2 linked regions of the Sus scrofa genome follow. Each later gene encodes a partner of the first gene's protein in a complex. Links are inferred from orthologs where the notes say so. Each region holds a gene or a part of one and is shown in the gene's direction. Other genes may lie near its edges. The genes, in order: TPRKB and GON7.

Region 1 (11,820 bases):
ATATATTTTGAGTACTCATTGTAGAAAATTCAGCACATAGAAAAATATTTATAGGAGACCTTAGAAATTGCCTTCAATTCTACTGCCCAAGATGGCCATATTTTGGTGTACTTCGTGTTTTTGTTTTCTGGGTGCATCTTCTTTTATAATTGGGTGTACATTTTATCTTTCTGTATTTTTTTTTCCATTGGACCTTGATTATGACTGAACTGCTGTGTGCCAGGACGTTATTCACAAATGTTCTTTTTTTCTTTTGTTACAATAAGAAAAAAGTCAGATGAAATTCCAGCAGGTCAAAGGTAATTTTTCGTTGTATTTTTCTTTCAATTTTGTGTGTGTGTGTATGTGTACCTTTTTTAAAAAACCCACAATTTTATGTTTTGATTTCCACATCAAATGTTTTAGTGTTATTTATTGCTGTTTTTATACATCCTTAAGTACTCTTCAAGACTACAGTTTTTAGTGGTTGTTTAGTGAAAACAAATCCTGTTACTAGTTCTTTTCAGCTTTTACTGTTAGGATAATGATAAGGACCTCTTGTTACATAAACCTTCAGATTGCCAGTTTATTCTTTGAGAAAAATGCTGTAAATGGAACCTCCTAGGTAAAAGGATAAAATGAACCTATCAAATTGCCTCACCCAAATATCTCATTAGGACTGATTGAAATTGTTTTAAAGATCAAATTTTTGCAATGCTTTGTTTTTCTGTGCAAGGATATGTCTTTGTAGTTATTTGTCATGTTTCTCTTATGTCTTTGTATATACCCCGTCCTTTTCTTGTTCAATTTATGTCTATAAAGGGCCAGTATTATTAAAGCATTGTGCCCTCCCTGCTTAAATCCCCATGTGTGAAATGAGTTCTCTGAGTCATGTCATACTTTTCCTCTGTAAGATTATTTTCTTCTTTCGTATTTGTGTCTAGGTGCTGCTAAAACATAAATCAAATGGTGAGATAAGAAAACTAAAAAGGCTAAGAAGTTGGAGTGAGGTTTCATTAATGCTAAAAGTAACCTGTGATCTAAAACATTTTTGGTAATCTGCACCTAGTTGTCTATTGGGGAAACGGCATCTCATCCACGGATCAGAGCCGGACTTACTGCACAAGCAGGGGATCAGGTGGCAACCTTGATCCTTCGCCAGGAATGGTAAAGGAAGCTAGAAACAGCAGGTTTAGGAAGACAGTATACTGTGAGAATGCCAGATGTGTTTTCGGGATAGATTTTTCTATTTTAACACTTTTATATGTTCTTATTAAAGTTACTTTGTTAGGGAGTTCCCAGTGTGGCTTGGCGGTAACAAACGTGACTAGTATCCATGAGGACTCGGGTTGGATCCCTGGCCTTGCTCAGTGGGTTAAGTATCTGGTGTTGCCGTGAGCCGTGGTGCAGGTCACAGATACGGCTCAGATCTGGCCTGGCTGTGGTTGTGGCTGTGGCTGGGGTATATGCAAGCAGCTGCAGCTCTGATTTCAACCCCCAGCTGGGCAACTTCCATATGCCACAGGCACAGCCCTAAAAAGCAAAAAAATATCTCGTTAAGTAAAGATATTTTTTTGTTAGTGACCTACGGTGTTAACTTTTGGTCTTTTGGTCTTGTGCAACAGAATCCTGTCTTATCTATGAAATGCAGTTAACAGAGCAACTGGACCTGTTTCCTGAGTACAGGGTGACCCTTCTGTTATTTAAAGATGTGAAAAATGCTGGAGCCTTGAGAAAAAAGGCCATGGAAGGTGGCATTGACGGCTCATTAATCAACCCTACAGTGGTAAGTACTTGTGGGAAGGAGTGCACTCTGCAGGGAGTTTAAGAATATGAAATATTTCTTGCTGTTACAGGTCAGCCCAAACCTGTTATCTTCAGGTAAAAAGGCCTTGTCCAAGCTGTGGAGTGGAATCAGATTTGGCCGACCTTGAATTAGCAGTGACTAGAAGCCAGAGCACCCCGCCCTAGGAGCTGTCAAAGGCGGTCCAGCCCTGATGTGATCGCAGCTGTCTGGGATCGTCTTCTCCTCTGAAAGAGAAAGTCTGGGAAGGAGGCACTGCATAGTGGTTAAGGGAACACACTGTAGAATCACTGTGACTCAAATCCCAGATATGCCATTTATTATGGCTTTGAGCAAGTGGTAGCTGACCTTTATATAAAGGTGTATTTGGCTCCTGGCATTGTTGCAAGTTGTTTACACACACAGCTGACTCAGTCTTCACGACAACCCATCCGTGACGTCCTAGGATGGTCTGCACCTCTAGATGAAATGCTAAGGCATTTGCTCCGGTTCCCTCGTGGTAACTGAGGACAGCTGGGATTCAGACCTGTTCTTTGCCGTGGTCTCCTCATCCATTACATGTGAATATAACATGGATATCACTGACAGCTGTGGAAAACGAAGGCAAAATGTTGACCATATGGTTTTTCCCATAATAATACCCCTCGGTAAATGTCGTTTTAAAACTTTTTACTATTGGAATTCCTGTGGTGGCTCAGTGGGTTAAGGATCCGGTGTTGTCTCAAGCTGCAGCGTAAGTTGTAGATGCCGCTCATGCCCTGCATTGCGGTGGCTGGGGTGTAGGCCGGCAACTGCAGCTCAGATTCCACCACCAGCCTGGGAACCTCCATATGTCTCAGGTGTGGCCCTAAAATGAAAAAACAAAAAAACCCAGCTTTTTACTATTTATCTAAGTTGCTTACAGTTTTACTTTTTTTTTTTTTTCCTTCCTTTTGTCCTTTTAGGGCCGCACCCGCGGCATGTGGAGCTTCCCAGGCTAGGGGTCTAATCGGAGCTGTAGCCGCCAGCCTACGCCACAGCTCATGGCAACACCGGATCCTTAACCCACTGAGCAAGGCCAGGGATTGAACCCACAACCTCATGGTTCCTAGTCGGATTTGTTAACCACTGAGCCACGACGGGAACTCTTGCTTGCAGTTTTAAAATTCTTTTTTCTTTTTTTTTTTTTACTGAACACTCAGGCCTTGAGATTATGAAAAAATTTAAAAATGTAGTCCATAGGAACTGGGATGAAGTAAAACACTGACCCTGGAGATAGCACGCTATGGGGCACATGTCTTCAGCGTACTCCAGATTCTCTGTGTATAATATTTTTTGTTCTCTTTGGTAGATTGTCGATCCATTTCAGATACTTGTGGCAGCAAACAAAGCAGTTCACCTCTACAAACTGGGGAAAATGAAGACAAGAACTCTATCTACGGAAATTATTTTCAATCTTTCCCCAAATAATAATGTAATTAATATTTATTTACTTTATAATTGTTGACCTTGTCATGATAGCCTGTGTGTTACTTGGTGTTGGGTTGGAGCCTGTTAATACTAAACCAAAACAATAGTGAAGACAGCTCTGGACAGAGTTGGGGTTTAGCACTGCTCTCTTACTAGGCAAATAAGCTTTGGAGACGCTTCACATGTGTGTAAACAAAAATTTAGCTAAATTAAGAGGATAGTTTTAATTTGTCCTTCTTACCACGTAGAGTCAGGAAGATCACTAAATGATATCTGAATGATTAGCCATGGATGCCTGAGTGTTGTCATGCGTATCTTTCATTCTGCCTGTAAACTCTTTGAGGATAGCATCCATGTCTCTTCCATATACCAGAAGCCTGCCTGGTACCTAAAACAGCCCTTAACACATGCTCTCTCACACACCCACTGCATGTAACAGTTTGTGGTTTCAGATACTGCTAGTAATCAAAGTTATTGAGTTAAAAACATTCCACCTGGAGCCATTAAAAAAACAACACTGTAATTTTGCTGATGAAGAAGTTTTAGTGTTCCTACTACTGTTAAAACAAGCAAGTGCTGACATCAAGAGAAAACTTAGGAAAACTGTGGCAAGGTTTAAAATACAGATGTTTAGGAAGCTTATAAAATGCATGGTAGGAGAACTCCCCAGTACTTGGGGGAAAAATCACTCCATAAATATTGTTTGAGATCAGTGAAATAACTCAAGAGACTAAGCAATTCATAAACAATTATTGAGTTGTCCCTGTGTCAGTTCTAGGGGCAGAAAAAAAACAAAAATGTTCCTGAACAAGGCAGATGAACTAGACACAAAATTCAAATGCCCTAAGATAATTGATATACGAGGGCTCTCCAGGCAGAGGACAGAGTATGAGCATAGACAGAGAAGCATGAGATGACAGGCTCTCCAAACAGTCCTAAGTGGCTAGAGGGTCACTTGGGGTTGGGGGGTGGGAGGGATGGTTTGTGCAGGAAGGGGCTGTGGAAGAGAACAACTGTAGGCAGAACCATTAGGATCTAAAAAATAAGAATCTGACCTGGAAAGAGTGGCAAGGGGGAGGTGTTTCAGATGAATCTACTGATTTTCTCCCCCCCGCCCCACCTTTAGATTTCAGAGGCCTTGAAAAAATTTGGTATTTCGGCAAATGACACTTCAGTTCTAATTGCTTATATTGAAGAGGGAGAAAAACAAATAAATCAAGAAGACATCATATCTCAGGTAGAAGGTCATCAAGTTCCTTTGAAAGAACTCACTGAAATAACAGATATTACAGAAGTCAAAAAGGTTTGTAAATCTGAATTTCTGGAAAGAGCATGATAGATGTGAATAATGTTTGCTTATTTTTCACCAGTGCTTCTATGTTTTTTTTAACTTTTAAGAAAGTTAATGTAATAAAGTATTACTTGGCATTCCTCTCATGGCTCAGTGGTTAACAAATCGACTAGGAACCATGAGGTTGCAGATCTGATCCCTGGCAGTGCTCAGAGGGTTAAGGATCCGGCATTGCCGTGGGTGTAGGTCGCAGACACGGCTCGGATCCGGTGTTGCTGTGGCTCTGGTGTCAGCTGGCGGCTACAGCTCCGATTCAACCCCTAGCCTGGGAACCTCCATATGCCACGAGTGTGGCCCTAGAAAAGGCAAAAAGACAAAAAAAAAAAAAAAAAAAAAAATTACTTGAAAAATAATTACAGGTGCAAAGAATTGGAAGATGCAGAATTACATAAGATACAGTTAGAAACTTACTTGATAAGATCATTCTTCAAAAAAGATAACTTTAACTATCAAACTTACGTAGTACATTTGAAATATAAAATAATTATAGTATGAAGTTACTATCTAGATGTGTGCTTTTAAAATTAATATATGAGTTCCTGTCATGGCTCAGCAGAAACGAATCTGACTAGTATCCATGAGGACACAGATTCCATCCCTGGCCTCGCTCAGTAGGTTAAGGATCCAGCATTGCTGTGGCTGTGGCGTAGGCAGGCAGCTGCAGCTCCAATTCAGCCCCTAGCCTGGGAGTCTCCATATGCTGCAGGTGCAGCCCTAAAAAGACGAATACAATAAATACATAAAAATTTATTTGTTTAGAGTCATCACCATAACTAAAAAAGAGTGCTTTTGACAGTGATAAATTTCCATCTACTTTTCATACTTTAACTACGTTGTGATTTCATGCCATCATTCCAATAACTGAGTGATAATTTCACTTATACATGTTTGTATAATAAAAATAAATCGTGCATGAACATATTAGCATGTCATAATCTGTCTTTTATTTTTACAGATATATAAACTGTCTTCACAAGAAGAAAGAATTGGGACATTATTGGATGGTATCATTTGTAGAATGTCAACAAAAGATGTTCTGTAAAATAATAAATATATTAAAAATTTTCAGCATTTATAAAAAACTGGTTTTTTTCCAGATTATAAAAATCTATTTTGTTCATCATAGAAAATTTTAAAGCAGAATGGCAGCAAAGGGGAAAAAAAAAACACTCCTGGTCTTATCCCTAATATTTTAAAAAATAACCAGTTAGTATTATGCTATTGTCTTGCTTTCTATTTCTGTTCAAATAGGTTTTATTTTTATATAATTAGAAAAATTGCAGACATTTATCGGATGTGTACAGTGTACTAGGTTCTCGTCTTTCTATGACTTTCTATCCAGCAGCCCATATTCCTGCACTTATTTCTGGCTACTGCAGCATTGCCCTTCCAAGCCTCCTGGTTCCAGGTTTTTACATGCAAGAATATGTTTAATTCTAAGAGTGTCACATGAGGTAGATATACCCGCATTTTACACAAAGGCAACTAAAAGCTTGTAGAAATAACAGGTAACTTGCCCGAGTTTTACAGCTAAAAATCATGTTTTATAAGTGGTTTTGGATTTTTTTTTCTCATTTTGTCTTAAAATATGATTGTATCAGTCAAGGTAGAATAGGATAGGGATCAACAAACTTTCTGTGAAAGACCAGATAGTAAATATTTTCGGTTTTAAAGGCCACCTGGTGTTTGTTGCTTCTACTCGGCTCTTGCTGTTCTAGTGCAGAAGCATACACAGACAGTGTAAAAAAAAAAAAAAAAAAAAGTATTCCAGGGAGTTCCCCAGTGGCTCAGTGGGTTAAGGATCCAGGAGCTGTTTTTGCTGTGGTGTGGGTTCTATCCATGGCCTGAAAACTTCCACATTCAGCAAGAAAAAAAATCTTCCAGTAAAACTTTATTTACAAAAATAAGCAATGGGCAAGATTTGACCTGAGGGCAATGGTTTCTGGACTCGGGGGTGGGGGGTAGGTTAGGCTGTAATTAGGGTCCCTAAAGCTCACTGCCTTCGTACCACAAAAATTCGTGTCTGGCTCACTCTGCAGTGTGACTCAGTAGGAAGGTTCACTGCAGTGACTCGGGAATCCAGGCTGCTGAAGGCTTTATGTCAATATGTGCTCTGTGGGTCACAGCCTGGCTAGAAGGCATGCTGTGAATTACACAGTGACTCTTAAAGCTCCCACATGGAAATGACAGGTGCTTAGATTCATATTTCACTGTCCAGTCACATAGCCATGCCAGCGTCATAAAGGGTGGCGGAATGGGGTCCTCCCCTGTGCTGGAGAGGGAGAGGTAGAAATCCTTAGGGGACAGATATTTCCACTGTGGTCATAAATAGTAAAGTATAAATGTGCATTGCTTTGAATGCAGTGAATACGGCGCTAAGCATTTTATATGCACTGCCTCATATGGTTCTCTCTACAACCCCGAGATTTTAACACAGCAAGGAAGTAAATTTAGTCTCTGAAGTTATTTCAAAAAATTTCAGAAGTTCCCGTCGTGGCACAGTGGAAACGAATCCGATTAGTAACCATGAGGTTGTGGGTTCGATCCCTGGCCTTGCTCAGCGGGTTAAGGATCCGGCATTGCCATGAACTTTGGTGTAGTTCGCAGATGCTGCTCAGATCCCGAGTGGCTGTGGCTGTGGCTGTGACACAGGACAGCAGCTACAGCTCCGATTTGACCCCTAGCCGGAACCTCCATATGCTGCGGGTGCAGCCCTAAAAGACAAAAGAATAATAATAATTCAAACCTACAGAACAATTGGATAGTACAGTCACCATCTGTATGCCTTTCATGTGAATTCACCATTTGTTAACATCTTGCTACCTTTGCTTGCTCTCTTCCTGCATGAGTAAGGCACAGGCATACACACCTGTTTTCTGAAACATTGTGTTTAGTTGTCATGTCTCTTAGTCTCCTTTAGAAAAATCTTTTTCAGAAAAAAAAAGTCGAGGAGTTCCTGTCCTGGTTCAGCTGAAACGAATCTGATTAGTATCCATGAAGACACAGGTTCAATCCTTGGCCTCACTCAATGGGTTAAGGATCTGGCGTTGCCATGAGCTGTGGTGTAGGTCACAGACCTGGTTTGGATCTGGTGTTGCTGTGGCTGTGATGCAGGCTGGAGGCTACAGCTCCTATTTGACCGCTAGGCTGAGAACCTCCATATGCTTGTGGGTGCCAAAAAAAAAAGTTGACATTTTTTGAAGAGTACCCTATGTCTTTCAGAATTTCAGAATGCGTTCACGATTTGAGTCAGTTTAAATATTTTTGGGAATGAGGAGCTCGGGCTGTGGTGCAATGGGATTGGCAGTGTCTTGGGAGCACTGAGACACAGTTTCAATCCCCACCCCCAAGCACAATGGGTAATCTGATCCCTGGCCTGGAGCGCCATGTGCTGTGGGGTGGCCAGAAATGAAAAAAAGAAAAAGAAAAAAAACACATTATATATATATTATATATATATATCCAGGGGAATGACAGTAGATAGATTTTGTGTCCTTCTGCTTGCATGTCATCAGGAGGCACGTGATATCAGTTGGCCCCATCAGTGGTGTTAGTTTGGTCACTTCGTTATGGTGGTCCCCCTAGACCTCTCCATTATGAAAGCATCTTTCCCCCTGAAGCTTACAGAGTCAAAGCTGCTCTAAGACTCAAAGTGCTGGTGGTCAAGATTAAAACTCAGATTGGAGTGACCCCAGATCCTGTGATCCTAACGACTCCATCACAAAGCCTTCTCCCATGCCATTACTCTCAAACATGTTTTTTGGGGGTTGTCTTTTCTTTTTAGGGCCGTACCTGCTGCATATAGAAGTTCCTGGGCTAGGAGTCGACAGCTGCAGTTGCTGGCCTAAACCACAGCCACTGCAATGCGGGATCTGAGCCTCGTCTTCGACCTACACCACAGCTCACAGCAAATGCCGGATCCTTAACCCACTGCGCGAGGCCAGGGATCGAACCTGCATCCTCACCAATACTAGTCAGGTTTGTTGGCACTGAGCCACAACAGGACCTCCCCAGCGCCTTCTTTTTAGAAGGAGCCCAGTGGCTCACAGGCGTCTCAGGCCTCCTGCTGTCATTTTTTTGCTTTTGTCATTAATGACCTTCCCACAGCTACTTGTCTGCAAACCCCAGTAGTCAGTTCCTCTGCTCTGGAACCTGTGCCAGGGTTGAGGCTGCCTCTCTGTTCCTGGCTGTGTTTGCTGACTGTTAAGCCATCAGCACAACAACACTGAGTAAAGCATCTATGTTGATTGTTCTCAGAATGAGCAAAGTTTGCATTTACCAAATTTGCCCGTTGTGACTGTTTTCCTCATCCTCTGTGCCAGTTATCTCCATATCTCCATTCTGGTTTTGAGTTCCCAGTAGAAGTCTGGGGCACTGACCTGAGGTTGGGTTGACTGATGAGAGGTCAGGGGAGATGCTGTTCTTTTCAGGACGTTTTCTTCCTCCTCTGAGACTTCCAAAACACATTGCCACATGACTGGCTACCTTCCATCTCAATGGCCCATTTCTAGGCAGGGCTGGGCTGTTACACAGGTATACTTCATAATTTGCAAGCACGGAATTTCAGCGACATGATGTTCTCAAATCCCAACTCTGGGAATAAAAATGATTCCAAAAAGTATAATTATATATCATAATCGGGTTCCTATGGGCAATAGAAAAGTAAAATAATTTATCAGGGTACTTGTAACTTTTCTTTTCTTTTTAGGGCCATACCTGCGGCATATGAAAGTTCCCAAGTTGGGGGCTGAATAGGAACTGTAACTGCCGGCCTACACCACAGCTGTAGCAATGCAGGATCCAAGCTGGGTCTGTGACCTACACCACAGCTCACGACCACACCAGATCCCTGACCCACTGAGTGAGGCCAGGGATCAAACCCGCCTCCTCATGGATTTTAGTCGGTTTGTTACAGATGAGCCACCATAGGAACTCTCAAAGGTCATGGTAACTGTTAAACTGTAATAAGTGAACAGTTACTTGTTAAGCAAGTAATAAATTAACAGCAATGTAAGTGCTTAATGAGGAAGTGCCAAGGCTTCAGAGAAGGGAACAGATACAAGATCCATCTGGTTGGTAAGGGTCAGAAATCTTGATGGAAAAGGTAACACTGAACTGGATCTTGAAGAAAGAACAGAGTCTTAGTCACAGATTGGAATTTGGTCAAGTATGGCCTGGTCACTGGTGATAGAGGTGTGATGAGGCCTGGAAGTGAATCCTGATCCTACCAGGCAGAGCTGATTCTCCTGGCATACACAATTCACCAAACACTTGTCCAATTGGGATCAGCATGTGGTACTGAAAAAGCAAAATGTTCAGGCCTTCGAGTCTGAACTGCCGTTTGAGCCCCAACCTGCCACGTTCTGTGGCATAGGTAGGATATCTCAGGTTTGTGGGCCTCTGTTTCCCATTGTAAAGTGGAAACATGAATATCAACCTAAGCTCTTAGGTTACAATGAATATCAAATAGTACAGCAGAGGGGAGTTCTCTTGTGCAGCCATGAAGGATTCGGCGTCACTGCAGTGACTCGGGTTGCTGCTGTGGTGTGGGGTTGATACTTGGCTTGGAAACTTCTGCATGCCACGGGTGAGGCCAACCCCCCCTGCCCCCCCCCCAAAGCCCCAAAATGGTACAGCGTAGGAAAAACATTTTCTTACAGTTCCAGGCATCGAATTTCTCAGGAATAACAGCTATCTCTTTCTCTCAGTACACCAGGCAAAGTGCTGATAGTAAAATAAGACTTACTGCTGGTGGGAAAGTAAAACATGGACAACAGTCTGGCAATTTCTCAAAATGTTAAAATAGAGTTACCATATGACCCAGCAGTTCTACTCCTAGGTATATACAAAAGAACTGAACACAGGTCCTGAAACAACCACCTGCAAAGAATGTTCACAGCAGCACTATTCACAGTAACCAAAAGGTGGTTAGAACTCCAATGTCCATCAGTGGATAACTGCCTACACAAAGGCTGTCTCTCTGTACAATGGAATATTATGTAGCCATAAAAAGCAACGAGGTACTGATAAAACACGAGGATGGAGATGTACCTTGAAAACAAAAGTGAAAGAAGCTGAATGTGAAATCACATATTGCATGATTCCATTTAAATGAAACATCCAGAATAGGTAAATCCATAGAGACAGAAAGCAGGTTAGTGGTTGCCATGGGCTCAGGAGAACTGGAAATAGGGAGTGATTGCCTCCTGGCTAAGGGGTCTCCTTCTGGGGAGATGAAAACGCTTAGCAACTAGATAGAGGTGGTAATTATACGACATTGTGAATGTACTGAATTAGACGCATTTACATGGTTAAAGATAATAGAATGAAAGTATTAACACATCTGCCTTACCTTTAGGAGTTCACAGTCTCAGCTGGGTCTGTTTAGATTCAAGAGTTGGCAGAGGCTAAAACAGGTAGATTCTCAAGCAGTTCCATCATCTGAAAGTGGGGCCAAGAGCCTGGAATGTGCTAAACTTCCAGAGGTCATCTCCTACCCAGAGAACTGCCTGCTTCCTCTGTCCAGAAGGAATGGCCACCAAAGTGTGGTGGAACCGTTCACACTTTCCTCTCTGCATGCTTGTGTGTATAAATTATTTTTTTCTATTTTTCAAAAAAATAAATGAAAACACTGTCTTATAAGCTTTAATAGCTTGGTGCTATATTTTGACAATTTTTTTTTCATGTCAACAGATCCTCATCATCATTGTTCATGGCTGTGAGGAAGGTTGAAAAGCCTGAATGTAAACTGAGGCCACCAGGTGTTGAGGCCACAGAGGCTGGTGAGGATACAGGAGACAGATGGCAGGGACAGCTCACAGCCCTGTCTCCTCAGCTTGGTTTCTCACTGGTTAATATTAAACTCATAAGCAATAGTCATTTGGAACCCTCTTGTCTCTTGTGAATCCTCAAATTTGGCTTGACATTGAACCATTTAAAGAAAATATTACATTTTACTGAAAACAATGTAACATGCCTGTAGCTCACCACCCAGACTTCATGTTAGTTAAACCCTTGAGGCCTTGATGGGTGCCGGAGCCTCAGCAGCCCGCATCCACCAGCCCCGGGTTGCAGCTGCCAAGTCTGGTCTCTCTCCAGCATCCTCCCAGGTGCTTCTACCAGAATCCTGGCTATCTTCTCCAACCCCTTCTTCATCCTCAGATCATCACTAACCCATGCCATTTCTGCCTACCCCCCAAGTGGGCCAGGTCACACTACCCACAACCCCACTCTAGTC
Region 2 (12,549 bases), on another chromosome or scaffold:
ACAGAGACACCTACCGGCCAGCTGCGCAGCATAAGCCCACAAGAATGAACAGCGTTTCATGCAAGCCTGGCACACCATCTCCTGGAAGTCCCCGCTCTCAGGGGGGGCGGCACCAAGATGCTGTTAACACAGAAAACCAATGATCTTCCTTGTGACACCAAGGGGTCCAAAAAGCTCATTATTTTATGAAATACTGCAATGGTACACTAATCTTTACAGTATATTTTTACAAGAGTAACCGTTATGTAAAACAGAATACAATTCCAAAAGACAAGACCTTTTTTCTTTCTGTAAAGACAATGGCTTTGAAAGGAAGACGCTCTCCTTACCCTTCCATGGAACCAGTCTTCACAGACTACACACTGGATCATCTCATCGGGAATCTAACACGGAAAAGCAGTTCATTTGTTACCGATAATGGCCAGTTTCTGGGACACAATACATCTGGCTCACATTAGAATTAGCTATTCAATAATTCTCTTACCAATTCTGTGAGACCACTATCCACATGCCAGAGGTCAAGGGGACAGGGAGAAAGGGCAACTCAGGAGCCCCAAGAAGTTTGCCGGTGTCACAGAAGGATTACATTGAGATAAGCGCTTTCTGAGCAATTATCACAGCTTTCCTATCAGTTCCCTGCTATCTGATTCTCACAAAACTTTATACAGAAGTAATATAGTCTCATCTCATACATACATACACCCAGGCTCAGGGAGGTAACGTGAACTGATCACTGTAAAATATAAGAACTGGGCTTTTCACACACCATTCGGCCAAGCAACCGCAAAGTCAATGTTACAATCTCTTGACAATCTGGACAGCAACAGTTCTTGGACTTAAATAAATTAATGAAATGCTGGCCCTAGGAAAATTATATACTGACCGGCGCAGACTACTTTTAGAATGATTTTCGTTTTATTCCCAGGCTTCCATATTCTACTGATTTAATATTCTAATATTGTCCCATTCTTTCCACATTATGGCTTCTTAAAGGGGGAAAAAAAGCATAAGCACATAAAGCAGTTTTAGTCTTCCTTCTGTCTTGATCAATTTAGTCACATCTTATTTTTTGTCTTTTTTTTTTTTTTTTTTAACTTTTTAGGGCTGCACTCGCAGCGTATGGAGGTTCCCAGTTAGGGGTTTAATCGGAGCTACAGCTGCTGGCCTACACCACAGCCACAGCAACGCAGGATCTGAGCCGTATATGCGACCTACACCACAGTTCATGGCAACACCGGATTCTTAACCCACTGAGCAAGGCCAGGGGTCGAACCCGAAACCTCATGGTTCCTTGTCAGATTCGTTTCTACTGCACCACAATGGGAAGTCCTGAACAATTCTTTTTTTAGTTTTGTGTATACTTATAATTAAAAATTTTAAGAGGAATCAATTTGTACATCTTATTTTTTCCTTCCTCCCAGGGAATGCGAGAAGTTGAAGGTCATTTTTTAGAATGTGTTCGGGGGAATGGAGCAGACAGGCAGGCAAAGAGAGAGAGGAAGGGCAAAAGTTCTGGTCTTGAGAAAGTCCTGTCCAACAGTTCATTCTCATGATGAAGAATGAGAAGGGCTGGTATCTGAACAAGTTATAGCTCCAGCCCCGACTCATAAGAAGGGGTAAATCTAAAATTCTTCACAATCCCCAAATCCCCCCCTGAAGAGCTAGAGGCCCAGATATGACAAGAGGCTGAGAAGTGAAGGCTAAAGATGACACGCTTCCAGAGCTAACTTCCAGGCCTCTTACCTCATCCTCAGGATCAGGATAAGGTCTCTTGCAAATGCAGTACAATCCAAAAAAGTTGTCATTGTACTTATTGCTAGAATTTATCTTTGCTTTATCCTGAAAGATATTAATTTCAACATATAATACGTTCTAATTTTAACTAGAATTTCAAGCATCATAAAATTTATTCATTTAGTAAATGTGTGCTTTAATATCTCTCCCCCCACAAACTGGTCTTTAACTTTCAAAAGACAAAGAGAAAAAAATTCATTCCTATTAAAGAGATGCATTTTCCAGGATACAGGGAAAAAAATAAAATTTATTTTCTATATTTTCTTTGTAGCAATCGGGGAAAAACAAATCATAAATATTAATTATCAACCTAAATAAATTGACATTGGCTGAGAATTTCAAAATATTTCTTAAAATCCCCAGCTGTGATATTTTCTTTTACTTCTATTACTTCAGTGAAAGTTATTGTATAAGCACAGTTTTTATTAAGAAATTAAAAAAAACTCCTGAGTGCACATAACCTGTGCTCATTATTAGTAAGTTTTATTTATTCAGTTTTTAAAGTCATACCCTTTGATTTAAAAGCCTTAAAGCATAAGCCTAATCATGCTTTAGAACATTCCCCCCAAAACCTTCCATGTTAATTAGAATCTATGCTGCAGGCTCTTTACACGTTACTTAGTTTTCCAAGAAGTAAAAAATGAGATACAGCCTAATAGTGATTTGCCCATTTGCAAAGGATAAGCATAAGAATTCCCTCTTTGGAAAATATTTGTTTTTTATCCACTTGGACAAATATCAGTCTCAGCTACTTTTCATGCATTTATAGTTTTCAGTGCTTACTTACAGGAAATAATTTGCATTCCAAATTTTTAAACTTGCTGTTTCCACAATCACAACGAAAATTTCTGAAACAAGGAAGACACAATTTCAGTTGTTTTTCTTTTAAATCTAATGACTTACTTTTTAAATTCATATCACACCCTCTTCCCTTTCAACTTGCTTCTAAGATCTAATTAGTGGCCTTGGTTATTGTTCACGTATCCAATCCAGAATTTCTCCAAACACATGACAATGAAAGATTTAATAATTCTAGAAATTAACACACATAGACAAATATCTGTATCACACACACATGCATAATGGCAGAATAGCATGAATATGAATAGTTTGAGTTTGCACCATTCTATTTTAAAAGGTCCTTTGGAATAACTATTTTCTCCAACTATAGTACATAAAAGTTACATTAAATTTTGCCAGTGCACAACCACTTTGATGAAAAAACAAGATTAAGAAAAAATATGCAACTGTGAAAGCGTCTAAACATTTAAAAAGTATTCGGGGCAGGGGGAGTGGGATCGACTGGGAGCTTGGGGTTAGTAGATGCAAACTATTGCACTGGGAGTGGATAAGCAGTGAGGTCCTGCTGTACAGCACAAGGAACTATATCCAATCACTTGGGATGGAACATGATGGAGAATAATGTGAGAAAAAGAAAGTGGGTATATATACATATATATATATGTTTAACTGGGTCACTTTACCATACAGCAGAAACTAAATCAACAGAACACTAAATCAACTATAATAAAAAAAAACTTTAATAAAAATAAAAAAAAAGTATTCAGCACCAATCTCTGTTTTACCTTTTTGTGTATAGCTCAAATAGTTTATGACTTCCATGACATTCATAACTGCAAGCTAGGCAAATTCCTGCTGGTTCTTCTCCCTCTGGGGTGCAAGTACTACAGGCATACAGTGCTTGTCTCTTTACTGAGCCCTAAAAGACAGCCCCAAAATGGAAAAAGAGAGAGAATAAATTGATGAAATATGCCTAATACCCATACTATGATCTGAGAAATTTTTGCAGTCAGATTATCTGTGGTCAAGATCTTCCTGTAAAAATCACTGGGACTAAAAAAAAGCTTATACAACAGAGTACCAAACACTGTTGCACATTTCATATACTAGTGTTTGTTTCTGTATAATTTCTTCTTAAAGCGATAGAACTTTAAGGTTTTTAGTCAGCTGTGAATTAGCCAGTCTGCTTAATCACTTTAATACATGAAAATGTATGATAATGGGAGTTCCCGTTGTGGCTCAGTGGGTTAAGAACCCAACTAGTATTCATGAGGATGCAGGTCTGATCCCTGGCCTCACTTGGTGGGTTAAGGATCCAGCATTGCTTCAAGATGCAGTGTAGGTTGCAGATGGGGCTCCAATCCCGTGTCTCTATGGCTGTGACGCAGGCTGGCAGCTGCAGCTCCGATTTGACCCCCAGCCTGGGAACTTCCATATGCCGCAAGTGTGGCCCTAGAAAGAAAAAAAAGAAAATGTAGGAGAATGTGTGTCAGTTTACATAAGTAATAACCATACTTTAATTTTGGAAAATGCTTGTGATTCCACCAAAGAGAAAATCAATGCATTAAAGAATCCCTTTGGAGTTCTCATCATGGCTCAGTGGTTAACAAATCTGACTAGGAGCCATGAGGTTGCAGGTTGGATTCCTGGCCTTGCTCAGTGGGTTAAGGATCCGGCATTGCCATGAGCTGTAGTGTAGGTCCGCAGACGCGGCTTGGATGTGGTGTTGCTGTGGCTCTGGTGTAAGCCGGTGGCTACAGCTCCAATTAGACCCCTAGCCTGGGAACCTCCATGTGCTGCGGAAGTGGCCCTAGAAAAGGCAAAAAATACAAAAAAAAAAAAAAAAAAATCCCTTTGATTCTTAGGATGTATGCTGAAGTATTCAGAAGTGTAGTGTCATGGTCTGCAACTTATTTTCAAGTGGTTCAGAAAGAAAAAAAAGGAAAAAGAATTTACAATGAAAGGGGGAAAGGTAAACAAATGTGGGAAAATGTTGAAAAGTGAATATATATAAAGGTACACAAGTGTTCACAGTATTATTTTTTCAACTTATCTGTAGACTTAAAATGTTACAAAATAAAAACCTGAGAGAAAAACAAGTACAACTTTTAGAAATCCTGATAACGGTCACCGTCTTCTGGGGAGGAAGGAGAGGGACTCATGGAAGCTTCCGGGACGCCAGGAATACTCTACTTCCTGATCTGGATAGTACGTATGTGCATGTGTTTTTGTTTTTGCTTTCCCAAAATTTATACAAGGTTTGTGCAATTTTCCACATGCTCTACTACAATTAAAAAAATATTTTTTAAGGAGTTCCTGTGGTGGCACAGTGGTTACTGAATCTGACTAGGAACCCTGAGGTTGAACGTTCAATCCTTGGCCTTGTTCAGTGGGTTAAGGATCCAGTGGTGCCATAAGCTGCGGTGTAGTTTGCAGAAAAGGATCAGATATGATGTTACTGTGGCTGTGGTGTAGGCCGGCAGCTACAACTCCAATTAGACCCCTAGCCTGGGAACCTCCATATGCCGTGGGTGTGGCCCTAAAAAAACAAACAAAAAAGTGTTTTTTAAGGAAGTCTGTTTTTAAAACCTAACTATATTTCAAAAAATAACTTCTGCACAGACTTAAAAAAAAAAAAAAAAAAAAAGGAAAGCACAGGAGTTCCCACAGTGGCGCAGCAGCAACGAACCCAATGAGGTTGTGGGTTTGATCCCTGGCCTTGCTCAGTGGTTTAAGGATCCGGCTTTGCCATGAGCTGTGGTGTAGGTCACAGATGTGACCCGGATCCCGCGTTCCTGTGGCTATGGCATAGGCCAGCAGCTGTAGCTCGGATTGTACTCCTAGCCTGGGAACCTCCAGCGGTCCCTCCCTAAAACACAAAAAACAAACGAACGAAAGCACAGAAGAAGTTGTTTCGGGGGTGACCAAAGGTTTTAGAATACCAGCCAACATTAAATACATCTGATACCAGGTGTATTAAAAAAAAGCCCTACCCAGTAGTTCCTGTCATGGCTCAGTGGTTAACGAATCCGACTAGGAACCATGAGGTTACGGGTTCCATTCCTGGCCTTGCTCAGTGGGTTAAGGATCCCACGTTGCTGTGGCTCTGGTGTAGGTCAGCAGCTGCAGCTCCGATTCGACCCCTAGCTTGGGAACCTCCATATGCTGCGGGAGCGGCCCAAGAAATGGCAAAAGAAAAAGAAGAAAAAAAAAACCCTAACCATTCTGCAGTGTAAATTCAACTGGTCAATGATGACAACTGGTATTATGATCTCAGTCCACACCACACAATGACCCTAAGTCTCTCTCCTCACCCTCCAACGTTCCACTCCACACGCCCCCCGCCAAGGAACCTTCCTCCTACCAATTCTCACCTCTTATTAGTTTTCTTCTACCCACCTTTCTCCATTTTTGTACCTAGAATATAGGATGAGTCACCCAACACTACATCACACCCCCTCAAAGCCTTGTTCACAACATCTTCCAAGTGCTCGCTCTCCTCCCCTACCCCCACCCCTTCGCCAGAGCCACCAGCTGTTCGGGTTCCGGTCTATCCTCCTGGGTAGCAGACTGCACAGAGACATGGTACTTGCTTCCTCTCGCCAAAAAACCAGATAGCACTTGTCAAACTAAATTGCAGAGGACCAGCTGTCCAAGTGCCCAGCCCACATGGGGAGATTTTCAGATCCAGAGATCTCTCCTTTATCTCTGCTTTGACTCCCACCTGGTTCCTAATAAATACTAAGGATGGGAAAATTAGGGACAAAGATGTCTGGATTTGAGAGGACACGAGGATGGTTTCGTGAAAAACACCCGGGGCACCGAGAAGAGACGGGAGAGGAAGGAAAGGCTGCTCCAGGGTCAAAGCCTAGAGATCCTGGGGGGTCGGAGGAAAACCGAGGGACGAAGGGGGCCCTGCCGGACACAAGCAGAGGAAGGGGGCTCACGAGACTAAGGGTAAAAGGGCGGCTGAGCCTGGGATGAGGAAGCCTATGACAAACAGTGACCCCGGACTACCACGGAGGTGCCGGCCTCGGCAGGCGGGAAGAGGGAAGGTAAGTCCGGGAAGAGAAGGTCCAGGGGAGCCGGGGGAGGTAAGGCCCGGCCGCGCGCCCACCTGCGAGTAGGAGCACTTCTCGGAGTCGCTGCCGCCTAGTACGGCGCACGCCTCATTCTCCAGCTCCTCGTCCTCCTCAAGTACATCGACCAACGATACCACGGGCTCCAGCTCCGACTGCCGCCCCGCGGTCCCCTCGGCTCCAGCCATCCTCAACTGTCACCCGGACCGCCGCTCAGCCCCGGCGGAGGCGGGAAAAGCGGGCGCGAGGGGCGGGGCCGTAGGAGGCGGGGCCTGGGTGCCTGGAACCAATCCCAAAGACGCCGAGAGAAGGAAGGGGGAGGAGCGACTTCCGACAAACGGAAGTCACTCCTCTTCCTTCTCCCGCCTGCGCCCGCGCTTGGCTGGTTTCCGCTTCCGGGTGGCGTATCCCTGTGGCGCGTTCTTGAAGCTCAGCGGTCGCCATGGAGCTGTTGGGCGAGTATGTCGGGCAGGACGGGCAGCGGCAGCGGCTACGAGTGCCCTGTGAGGCGCCAGGCAATGCCGACCATTTCCAGGGCTTGCTGTCGGGCGTGGCTCGGATGAAGGAGCTGGTGGCCGAGCTCTTCGGTTCCCCGGTACAGGGGGAAGCTCAGGACCGGGTGGCGGCGGCTCCAGAAGAGGCCTTGGACGGTGAGCTCTGGGATGGTGCTGGAGCGACTGGAGGGAGGGCAGGGGCGCCCCGGGAAAAATCTCAGGGAGCCCGTGTAAAACAGCAGACTGGAGAAAACTGGAGGAAGAAGGATTCCTACTAAAAATTGTTAGCACCTTCCGCCAACTCTAGGCCTAACCTGGGCTCACCTAGCAGGGCTGTTTTCACGACTCTTTTCATTTATATCACACACACACACACACACATACACGCACACACAAAACCAAAGAAAAGCGGGCCGAACCCCTGCTGCTCTGTGCCAATCATTGGACTGAGCTCTGAAGAAAGAATGAGGGTGAATGCGGCTTAGTTCCTGTCGTTGCGGAATTTTGATGAGTGATTAAACAAGTAAACGCTCTCATTAAAGAGTGGAAAGATGACCCTAGGATCCTCCTATAACTATTCGAACCTAGAGAACCCAGGAAGACCTAATAGTGGGCATGTCTGGCTTTTAAGCTGGGTGTTGAAGGATGAAAAGGAATTCTCCCAGCTGTGAAATTACGTTTGGAAGACTGCGGTCCATCGCAGAATAGGAGCGGGTTCCTAAGATTGGAAGAGATTTCAGATAAACAGGTGTTTACTCTCAGGGACTCCTTTCCTTTCCCGGTTTTGTAGGTGCAGTTTGAAAGTGGAAACGGGAAATTTAACTGGTTTAGTTTTTGGGGGGTTTTTTGTTTTAAGTCTTGTCTTGAATAGGTAGATACATTTTGACTGCCTTAAGCTTAAGAACCTAAGCATTAAATATTGGAATCAGGACTTAACTCCTCTGTACAGGCTCTTAAACTAATAATGTGAAGGAACCAATTCAGAATATTACACAAACTTCAGACAATGGATTGTTTCCGTGAGAGTGAAGTCCTGTTTCTTGACTCCAAAAGTTCCTCTTTAATCAGTTGCAAATTTTATCGTTGGAATAAGGACAGGTATAGGTAGAGCCATTGAAAAAAAAAAAGTGGGAGTTCTCATCATGGCTCAGTGGAAAGGAATCTGACTGATATTCATGAGGACGCAGGTTACATCCCTGGCCTCCTCAGTGGGTTAAGGATCCGGAGTTGCTCTGAGCTATGGTGTAGGTTGCAGACATGACTCAGATCTGGCATTGCTGTATTGCTGTGGTGTAGGCCAGTGGCTATAGTTCCAATTCAACACCTAGCCCAGGAACCTCCATATGCCTCAGGTGCGGCCCTAAAAAGACCAAAAAAAAAAAAAAAAAAAAAAAAAAAATGGAGTTTATCTTTATTTTGGATGAATTCTTTCTTTCTTTTTTTTTTTTTTACGGCCACATCTGCAGCATAGGGAGGTTCCCAGACTAGGGCTCAGAATGGAGCTACAGTTGCCAGCCTACGCTACAGCAACTCCGGATCGGAGCCATATCTGCAACCCACACCACAGCTCACAGCAACACTGGCTTCCCAACCCACTGAGTGAGGCCAGGGATCAAACCCACATTCTCATGGATATTAGTCGGATTCTTTTCTGCTGCACTGCACTGGGAACCCCCAGTGTATGAATAATATCTTAATTAGCAATGCAAAATTTTCAGAAATAACAATTATGAAAGAAAAGTGGTAGAATGCAACACTAAAAAGGCAAATAGTGATCATTTTGTAACGTCTAGAAATATCGGGGCACTGTGTGGTACACTTGGAACTAACAGTGTACTTCAATGGAAAAAAAAATCCTCATGTTGACGAAAAAAGACAGTCAGTTACCAAATGTGCAGAAGACTTGAATAGACAGTTCTCCAAATAAGATATACAAATGGCAAATAAGCACATGAAAAGACGCTCAACGTCATTGGCTTTCAAGGAAAGGCAAATCAAATCACAATGAGATTCCATGTCATGTCCACTAGGAAGGCTGTAATCAGAAAGAACACTAACAGATGTTAGCTAGGATATGAAGAAATTAGAGCCCTCATGTGTTGCTGGTGGAAATGCAAAATAGTGTACCTTCTTTGGAAAGCCGTTTGAAGTTAAAGTTATCATATGATCCAGCAATTCTAGGGATTCTTAATTCCATCCCTAGTTCTCCAAGAGAACTGGAAACATGTTCCCATAAAAAACAAATGCACAAATGTTCATAAGCAGCATTATTCATAATAACTAAAAAGTGGAAATAAGACAAATTACAGCAGATATTGTCAGAACATTGTAAATCAACTATACTTTGATGAAAAATTTTAAAAAACACACAAATGTCCATCTACTCGAGTGGAGAAACAATATGTATATCCATACAATGGAATATTATTTAGCAACAAAAAGGAGTGAAGTACTGATAAATGTTACACTTCATGAATGACCTTTGAAAACATGGTAAGTGAAAGCAGACAGACACAAAAAGGCATGTATTTTGCGATTCATTTACATTAAATGTTAAGAATAGGCAAATCTGGAGTTCCCGTCGTGGCGCAGTGGTTAACGAATCCGACTAGGAACCATGAGGTTGCGGGTTCGATCCCTGCCCTTGATCAGTGGGTTAACGATCCGGCGTTGCCGTGAGCTGTGGTGTAGGTTGCAGACGCGGCTCGGATCCCGCGTTGCTGTGGCTCTGGCGTAGGCCGGCGGCTACAGCTCCGATTCAACCCCTAGCCTGGGAACCTCCATATGCCGCGGGAGCGGCCCAAGAAATAGCAACAACAAAAACAACAACAACAAAAAAGACAAAAGACAAAAAAAAAAAAAAAAAAAAAAAAAAAAAAAAAAAAAAAAAAAAAAAAAAAAGAATAGGCAAATCTAAGAGATGGGAGATGATTACAGTAGGTTAGTGGCTGCCAAAGGCTAAGGGGAATGGGAAATGACTGCTAATTGGTGTAAGATTTCTTTGGGGTTGATGAAAAGTGTTCTAGAATTAGTGGTGAGGGTTGGACAGCCTAGTGAATATCGAAATCAGTAAACTACACTTTTTTTGGGGGGGGGGGGCCACCTGTGGCATATGAAAGTTCCCAGGCTGGGGATAGAATCTGAGCTGCAGCTACAACACACACGGCAGCTACGGCAATGCCAGATCTGTAGCCCACTGTACGCGCTTCTGCAGCGACACGAGCTGCTATATTCGGATCCTTAATTCACTGTACCACAGCAGGAACTCCCGCTGTGAATTTTAGGCGTTCCCGTTGTGGCTTAGTGGTAACAAACCCGACTAATATCCATGAGGATGGGGGTTCGATCTCCAGCCTCCCTCAGTGGGTTTAAGGATTTGGCGTTGCCTCAAGCTGTGGCGTAGGCCGCAGACATGGCTCCAATCTGGCATGGCTGTGGCTGTGGCATAGGCCGGCAGCTGTAGCTATGATTCGACCCCTAGCCTGGAAATTTCCATATGTTTCACCTGTGGCCCTAAAAAGAAACTGTAAAATAAAAGTGAATTTTATGGTATATGAATTACATCTCCAAAAACTGTAATAGGGAGTTCCTGTCATGGTGCAGTGGTTAACGAATCCGACTAGGAACCATGAGGTTGAGGGTTTGATCCCTGCCCTTGCTCAGTGGGTTAAGGATCTGGCATTGCCATGAGCTGTGGTGTAGGTTGCAGATGAGGCTCAGATCCCATGTTGCTATGGCTCTGGTGTAGGCCGGCGACTACAGCTCTGATTCGACCCCTAGCCTGGGAACCTCCATATGCCGCGAGAGCGGCCCAAGAAATGGCAAAAAGACAAAAAAAAACAAAACAAACAAACAAAAAACCAAAACTGTAATAGAAAAGAAAGGTTCTAAATGCCAAAATTCCTAAAGTCTTTAAGCACGCATATTTCCTATTTGGTATATGCATTGTTTTATTAATCCCTAAAGTGAAGTGGTCTCATTATCAACTGTTTTAGCTATCTATATTTATTTCAACCACTGAACATATTGTCATACAACAATGTTTATTTTAAAAGGTGATGATGAAGATGATGCAGAAGATGAAAATAACATTGATAACAGAACTAACTCAGATGGACCAACTGCAAAACGGCCAAAACCACCATCTTAACAGTGGCTTTTATGAAATTTAAAGACTGCCACTATCTTATCACATACTGACATTTAAGGAAGACTTATGTTCTAACGTGGAAAGCATTCACTTTGTTCCCCTGGAACCGTTTTGTCAAAGGAGAAACCTTTCTTCTGTTCCCAATGAAGAAAAATATAATAAATGTTTAGAAATGAATCTCTCTTCTTGATTAAGAAGTAAGTTTCAGACCATGGAAATAAAATAGACATTTAATAAGGTGTAAGATGCTAGGTTGGCAACTGAATTCTTATTGAATTGTGTCATGTCTACCTCTTTTAGCTTCTTTATAAAAAGTACATGTTACAGTTCATGGACAATAACATTTCAAAGAATGATGAGCAAGTGGCAAGAACTGGGTATTTAAAAATGACAGTAGGAGTTCCCATCATGGTGCAGCCGAAACGAATCCGACTAGGAACCATGAGGTTTCAGGTTGGATCCCTGGCCTCGCTTAGTGGGTTAAGGATCTGGCATTACCATGAGCTGTGGTGTAGGTCGCAGACGTGGCCCGGATCCAACGCTGCTCTGGCTGTGGTGTAGGCCGGCAACTGTAGCTCCAATTCGACCCCTGGCCTGGGAACCTCCATATGCCGTGAGTGCAGCCCTAAAAAGCGAGGGGAAAAAAATGGCAGTAGAAGGTAAATGGGAATAGAGAGAAATACTGAAGAGAAAGGAGAGCCCTTGAGAGAAACCCAAGGAAACTTTGAATCCACACTCACACTCAGTTTACAGACATCTGGAGACAATACTACTCAGTGGATATATCTATTCACCTTGTACCTCAAGAGAGTCAAATGGGCTGGGCTTCTGTGCGGTGATGTGCTAATATGTAAACACAAATAGAGGTCTTTTAAGCAACCAGTGCTATGACTTAGATATCTCCTCTTATCCTGCTGCCAAATTTTTATTTTGCTTTACAAAGGACTAACAAATCCTTTAAATATATATATGTGGGGGGGGCTGTATTCTTTTTCTGCTTGGCAGTGGGACTAAGGCATTTTTTATTTACTGTGCATGTTTCCTGATTCATTCAGATAATTAAACTGCAAAGAAACCAAGTAGCATGTACCTGTTGAAACACAAGTGGTCATAGAATTTTAGAGTTGGAAGTAACCTTACAGATTATATGATCTATTTTGGAGGTGATTTGAATCTTAGGTGCTTGCCCTGAGTTACAGAACTTATTGGTGGAACTGGGTTATACACATAG

Evidence for each region.
Region 2: TPRKB (region 1) and GON7 share a complex: the UniProt entries of both Homo sapiens proteins name them as parts of the EKC/KEOPS complex. The link is inferred for Sus scrofa from reciprocal best matches to the Homo sapiens genes TPRKB and GON7.

The regions. Positions count from the first base shown.
Region 1 is NC_010445.4:69,238,045-69,249,864, forward strand, and holds TPRKB (EKC/KEOPS complex subunit TPRKB), read left to right. Parts: upstream 1-299; intron 300-923; exon of another isoform or gene 924-948; intron 949-1,048; exon of another isoform or gene 1,049-1,146; intron 1,147-1,604; coding exon of another isoform or gene 1,605-1,624; coding exon 1,625-1,765; intron 1,766-3,113; coding exon 3,114-3,236; intron 3,237-4,358; coding exon 4,359-4,535; intron 4,536-5,538; coding exon 5,539-5,625; 3' UTR 5,626-5,651; downstream 5,652-11,820. UniProt on the Homo sapiens protein: Component of the EKC/KEOPS complex that is required for the formation of a threonylcarbamoyl group on adenosine at position 37 (t(6)A37) in tRNAs that read codons beginning with adenine.
Region 2 is NC_010449.5:114,585,319-114,597,867, reverse strand, and holds GON7 (uncharacterized protein C14orf142 homolog), read left to right. Parts: upstream 1-7,063; 5' UTR 7,064-7,116; coding exon 7,117-7,324; intron 7,325-11,223; coding exon 11,224-11,318; 3' UTR 11,319-11,562; downstream 11,563-12,549. Other genes in the region: putative E3 ubiquitin-protein ligase UBR7, read right to left, coding at 15-120, 330-383, 1,744-1,839, 2,582-2,642, 3,381-3,514, 6,713-6,862. UniProt on the Homo sapiens protein: Component of the EKC/KEOPS complex that is required for the formation of a threonylcarbamoyl group on adenosine at position 37 (t(6)A37) in tRNAs that read codons beginning with adenine.